Linked DNA regions of Nothobranchius furzeri. Each later gene encodes a partner of the first gene's protein in a complex. Links are inferred from orthologs where the notes say so. Each region holds a gene or a part of one and is shown on either strand. Other genes may lie near its edges.

What was found.
Region 2: the proteins of prkaa1 (region 1) and 5'-AMP-activated protein kinase subunit gamma-1 are in contact, whole or in part, in a crystal structure (PDB 6C9H), measured with the Homo sapiens proteins. The link is inferred for Nothobranchius furzeri from reciprocal best matches to the Homo sapiens genes PRKAA1 and PRKAG1. Residues at the interface, in NP_006242.5 of Homo sapiens: Ser295, Ser296, Thr297, Met298, Ile299, Asp301, Glu302, Lys305, Arg342, Glu347, Ala348, Phe351, Tyr352, Leu353, Arg369, His371, Pro372, Glu373, Pro376, Phe377, Asn449, Val451, Thr452, Thr536, Pro537, Arg538, Gly540, Ser541, His542, Thr543; in NP_002724.1 of Homo sapiens: His36, Asp40, Leu41, Ile42, Pro43, Thr44, Ser45, Val50, Leu64, Val65, Gly68, Val69, Arg70, Trp75, Ser77, Lys78, Lys79, Gln80, Phe82, Pro158, Glu159, Ser160, Gly161, Asn162, Lys170, Arg171, Lys174, Phe175, Leu178, Phe179.

What each region holds. Positions count from the first base shown.
Region 1 is NC_091746.1:66,863,010-66,866,837, reverse strand, and holds the end of prkaa1 (5'-AMP-activated protein kinase catalytic subunit alpha-1), read left to right. Parts: intron 1-950; coding exon 951-1,228; 3' UTR 1,229-3,596; downstream 3,597-3,828. UniProt on the Homo sapiens protein: Catalytic subunit of AMP-activated protein kinase (AMPK), an energy sensor protein kinase that plays a key role in regulating cellular energy metabolism.
Region 2 is NC_091743.1:48,659,058-48,661,600, reverse strand, and holds part of 5'-AMP-activated protein kinase subunit gamma-1, read right to left. Parts: intron 2,498-2,543; coding exon 2,439-2,497; intron 2,326-2,438; coding exon 2,280-2,325; intron 1,364-2,279; coding exon 1,309-1,363; intron 969-1,308; coding exon 842-968; intron 749-841; coding exon 583-748; intron 476-582; coding exon 438-475; intron 1-437. UniProt on the Homo sapiens protein: AMP/ATP-binding subunit of AMP-activated protein kinase (AMPK), an energy sensor protein kinase that plays a key role in regulating cellular energy metabolism.

The DNA.
Region 1 (3,828 bases):
AGTAACTAATTAGAACTAAATAACCTTTTGTTGTGTTGAGCTTTAACACAGAGATGCTTTTCTTCACTCATTAACCCACCAAGACCCGGTGTCCTTTAGAGAGGGACTGCTGTCCAGACATATGACTCCTACATGCACTAGGCTGCTGCAGATTATAAATATTATTCATTTAGCTGGGGGGGGGGGGGTTAAAAGTGTGTAATCCCAATGTGAAAATGTTTTATTTCAAACAGGAACGTCACATTTTTTGGGAGGTATTTTCTTCATTTCCTCATTTTTGTTTTAGACATTTGCAAGAAAAGTGTGAAAAATCAGAAAGTGAAAAAACGTTAACTGTGATTGTTAAATATTTGACTTGTGCAAGAAAAAAAGGCAAAAATGTCTGACTCGTGTATTTACAAGAAGAAACCCAACTTCTAAGTATAAAGCTCTGGAGGGGAATCAAAATGTTTTTATTACAAAACTTTTGTTTTTTTAATTGTCAGATTTTTTTTTTAGGAATTCCCCAACAAACAAACAACAAGCTGTCTAACGCTGACGCTGAAGCGTGGCTCCCTGCGTGTCCGCAGTGCTGATCTGTAGTTTGGAGCCTTGCTAAAGATTTCATAAATGATTGACGTGCAGCTCAAGGCTTTGGAAGTCTGTGCTGTTTGAACGGACCTGAAAGGGAAATGTTCGGAGTGTTTTATGTGGGACAGGCGTGCTGTATAAAGGTTGTTGAGGTAAAACTAGACTTACGTCATCAAAGTCAAACACGACTTGTTAGATTTATGTTTTCACTCGAGACAGTGAGCAAGAAAGGGTTCACTAAATTGGCCTTTGGGAAGTTTGATGTGTTTTCTGTACACACAGCTTTTACCATGCGGGCTTTCAAATGTTACCTTTGTTTGGTCTCGATTGAGCTGTTTTTGGATACATTAAAAAAAAAAAAGTTTTTCTTTTTTATTTAGATGAAATGGTGGAGACAAAGTCTGGAACTGCTACCCCGCTCCGCTCTGGCTCTGTGAGCAACTACCGCACCACCACTAAGAACGATGTCGATGGGGCGGACGTTTCAGCCACGTCTAGCACTGTGCAGCCCACCAAGACCGCCGAAGGGTCCTTAGGGTCATCCTCGACCTCGTCCATCGACTCGACGGGGGGAGGGGAGAACACCCCTCGACCAGGAAGCCACACCATCGAGTTCTTTGAAATGTGCGCGAATCTTATTAAACTACTTGCACGATAGCTTGCAAAAACAATCATCGCTAGCCTTTTCTTCTCTGAGTGTCTTTATAGCAATAAGCATGGAACAGATTCATGGCTTACTTCATCCCAACTGAGGATGAGGTGATTGTTCCGTGGCGCTCATGCAGGTTGGTGTTCTCTGTGCAGAGGGGAAACATACAGAGCTGACTGGGTCTCTAGGAGTTGTTGAGATTACGCTACCCAGCTAGCTAGAGCAGGAAACAACATTTCGGGGAGGGGGAGGTCTTTAAATTTCTCAATCTGTTTAAAAGCAGATATCAACATCCCAACTTACAAATTACGCAGAAGTGATTACACTGAACGTTCTGTGCTGTAGCCTGCAAGGCCTGCTTTTCAGTACAGAGAACAAGATCACTTTTTTTATTTTTTACCTGCTGCGGGGAGGGGGCGGAGCCACAGTTTGAGGATTGAGTGATGTTCATAGGATGCAGGAAGCACTTTTGCACAAGTTTCTGTAATTTTCTGCTGCTTTGTTATTTTTTATTACCTTTTTTCCTCAGTAGGGATCAGAGAAGCGGTGCCGACGTCCCAGAGCGCCGCAGCGTTTCATTCCCATCACATCACATTAGTGCAGTGGCCTCTGTGGTTCTGGTACGTGTCAGGGACTTAAGAATGCTCCATGTTGGGTTTTATTTTGTTAAATGTCAAAGACTAAATGTTCATGGTTCTGTCCTCGTTGTGACCGATTGTCCAGCTCCGACTTATATTTTTTTTTATAAATAAATACCTGAAAATATTTATCAATGCATTAAGTGGATGGAGTTTTGGTTCCAATGACTTGTTTTTTCTTTCATTACGCTCTAATGCTGGATGTTTAAATATATACTCATTTTTAGCTGTTTTTAATTCAGTGTCACACCTTTGTTTCCCTCAATCACAATTATTCAGATACTTGATTGTCTTTCTAGAGAACTAGTCTGCTTTTTAGAAGGTGTTTTGCAACGACGGTCAACGTCTAGAAATATATCATTATCAGTTTATTACAGTGACAAGTTGATTATGATTTTTTTCTTTTCTTTTGGATTATGGAGTATGATTACTGGATGGGATGTCTTTTGCTTACATTCATTTGATGAAATGCCAATCAGTCACGTGTGTTCAGGCCTCTGTGCTCAATTTTAAACGAGCAGCAATTAAATGCAGTGCGTCAACGGCGTCCGTCAACATCATTTATGTTTCGCTCACACATTCCTTTAAAGGTTGCACATCGTTTGTTTAAACCTGAACCAGATCATTGCTGGTACTGTAAATGGTGAGAAAGATGAAGAATAAAAGCGAGCTAGTAAACGTGTGGCACAGAACAAAATAAGTAAAAGAATTTGCAAGGTAAGAGTCTTGGATATGTATGATCTTGTTCCATTTCCTGTCTAGTCTTAAAGGTTTTCACTGGTGTCCATTTGGCTGCCTTATTATTCGTACTGTTTATCAGTTTTTATGTCAGGTTTGAGCCCTTTGCTGGCCTGAATTATTGGTAACCTCTGCAATTTTAAAGGTTGAAGTTCATATTTTATATTTTCAGCCTCAGCTCACCAAGTTAAGTCCGATATTCTAGAGATGTTTTGGATTTTACTGCATAATCTACACATGGGATCATGTTGCCAAAATAGCTGTAATTCATCTCTGCCTGTAAAGATGATGGTTGGAATTTAAGAAAAACTGAAGTAGATGTAAAATTGATTTCTAATTTTGTAAATTAAAGTAACTTATTTTTTTGGAGAAGTTCTCATTTCTACCAAAAAAAATTCCTAAAAGTTAGATATTTGTTTAAAACTTGTCAGCGTTTGGATTTTTCCAGTTTCGGCTCTACAGATCTTTGAAATCCAGGATGAATGTATCTACACATTTTTAGATATTTAATGATTCTCCTTCAAAAATTGCTAAGAGTGACGATAATTGTGATCATATTTTCTTGTACTGTATGGCAGGTATGGCAAAAATGTTTAGTTTGTCTTTATCTCAGTTTTAAGCCAGAGTTAATAAAAAAAGAATCCATTTGAAGACGAAAACTTTATGGTCTTGCAGACGCGTTGTAAAATTTTAACACTCACGTTAGTTTTAGAGGGCAGTTGCAAGCATTGACCAAAACTTGCCATGCCTTATATGATGGGTTTTGTTGAAAACAGGTGAATGTGTGCAAAAAATACAAATTTTTGCCAGCTTTTAGAAAATGAAGTGTCCTAAAAGGCTGTTCGGTTCAGTGTCTGATAGAACAGCTTCATATAGTTTTAAAAAAGCTCTATTTTTGTTTGGAGTGAGAATGGACCCTATCGGATTGATCAGTGTAAATCTGAATGAAAGTGTTGAATCATTTGTATACGCAACTGCCTAATAAATGCTAATAAATTGCACACTGCTGTCTTTGAATCTTTTTCATGATTACATTTTGATTTATTAGTAATGCAAAATTGTATTAGTGTTATTTTTGAGCAGAATAACACTTGAAAGTCAGTGTAAAAAGTAGTTTTATTACATTTGCACATTTTCATACTAGTTTTTTTACATACATTTTTATAGGATCTTTTTTCTAATTAATTTTTATCATTTTCCATAATGCATACTCATTTTTTTTCATAGTTCATG
Region 2 (2,543 bases), on another chromosome or scaffold:
TTTAACCAGGATTGTAACACAAAAATCATTAAGACCACGACTCTCTGAGTGTAATTTCACAATTCTTGCTTCACTCTTGACAAAATTTCCCAGCATGCACTCACTCGCCAACATTTCACCCTGTGACCTGCAAGGCTCTCTTGAACACATACCGAAGCCTTTTCAAAGCACCATCAGCACCCAGGAAGCAGGACGGAGTGAGGAAAGTAAACATTGCTCACACACTTCTAAGAAAATTGACTTTTGAAGATTTTTTGGAGCTCGTGGGTCTGCTTGTATCAGATCAAAGAGCTGAAGAGATAAAACTTGTGAACAGAGAATACCTTAAAGCAGCTTAATGAAGCCTGTTTATACCTGGACAGGGGCTCTAATTCATGTTCTGTCTGTCTTTACAGCAAACAATTCCTTCATTTATTCAGTGAGTGAATTTTACTTACTATAACATCAAATTTCGAGTAAATGTCCACTACTCGACCTGGAAGACATCGACAGAAGACAAAAAAAAAAAAAAAAAAACTTGAGATCTCGGATTGCTAGAAAAACCTAAATAACAGAGATAAAGATTTCAGCCAGCTCACATACCTTTGTCATCCACAACAGGGAGCGCCGACACTCGCTGCTCCACAAAAATACCCAGCGCCGTGTACAACGGTGTGTCTGCATGAACCACTGCTATGCTTCGAAACGTCCCAATATTCAGCTCCTCTAAAGTCTGGCTTAAAAACGAAGGTTTCGGCATCTCTGATATCTGAATACAAGAGAGTAAACGCTTTATTGTGTTTTTACATATAATCATTATTTCATATTGTACAGTGTGACAAACTAGCGATCAAGAACCTACAAAAAGCTTCAGGAACTTAAGAATCCTCTTGTGGGTGAGGATGTACAGGGTGTTCCCCGTCAGAGGGTCAACTACAGGCAGTCTGTGGATCTTGTTCTTCAGCAGAGATGAAACGGCATCATACAAACTGCGACACAAAAAGGGGAGAAAGTTGATGGTGCTCAGCTTATTGCCAGAAAATGGCTTCACAAGATGCTTATGCTCGTTTATCAGAGGTGTCTCAAAGAGAAGCTCAAGTACAAACGTAGACCAGTTTTATAAAGTAGAATTAATACAGAAATTAAAAAGCATGAAATAATACAAAGTCTATAGTAGTTATGCCAATATCGCTAAATGTAGAAGATGAAAGTTCAGCTATTATTCATCATACTGTTTTTAAACCCGTATATGTTCACATTTTTAATTTGGCCATAAAATCTTAATAAATAAATAAACTGCTGATCCACTTCAGTAGTACTGCCACTTACCTTGCATTGGGAGATATGCTGACTAGAGGCTTGAATGAATCCTGCAGGTACAGTTCTAACATAACCAAGAAGAAAAGATAGCTCACCACAATGAATATCATATCAAATCTTCAGACGTGTGTGTTCAGTAGGGCTGCAATGATTAAACGTTCTGGTGATATGATTATAGTCGGAGACATAATCACGGTTTCACCAAGGTTATTTATGGGAATTGATTTCCCATCTGTATTAGCTTATCACACACACACACACACACACACACACACACACACACACACACACACACACACACACACACACACACACTTAGGGTTTCAAACTCTAGAAAATATTTATAGAAACACAAATTGATTGATACACGAAAGGAGATGTTAAATTCCTACTAGTGCATTTGTTGTTATGAATAACCCTGAATATCCTTTTAAGGCATGGCACTGCAGGAATTTTGCAGCATTTGTGCCACCATGCTTGGTAGGATTATTACAGCAACACCTGACTTATGAGTGCTTATTACGCCTTGGCGCAACAGAGGAAGGTATCATGATCACGTGGAGAGTCACTGCTTAGCTCCGGCAGGATCCTATATTAAAAAAGAAAGTAAACACAAGCGATATGTTTCACTTTTGTACACAGAACCAGCTGAGATGGGGCAGAGCAGAGCTCCAGGATTTTCTCTCCATTAGAGCTGGAGCTCAGATATCCTGACAGTTCACAGGGAATGTGAGTGACAGCCACCTTTAGGAGCAGCTTGTTAAAATACCTGATGAGCACAGCTTGGATCACAATAAAAAAACAGGTTATATCCAAGTTAAACGGAAGTCCAGTGCAGAGACCGCCCCCGTACACCCTTTATACCGATTACTAATGTAATTGTACCGCAAGTCTGGATTAACTGCCGTGTTTCACACCGTGGTTAATAATAAACAAACCAGGTAATCGTTGCAACCCTAGTGTTCTGTAGACATTCTCACCTCTCCATGTTTCAATTTTGTGTTCTTCCAACTCATATATCTGAACCTAAAGCATCACAATAAGAGAAAATAAATAATATCATTTGTTGACAAAGTCTTATATGTAACAAACAATCCCTGAAATTTATGAGCACAATTAAAAAGCACACAACATCTTACCAAAGGAGACTTGTAGTAGCGATGAAGAATGTTAATGAAGTCTGTGATGGTTAGCATACCTGAAGAGATGAAACAGAAGCAAATAAAGAAAACGGACATCTCTGA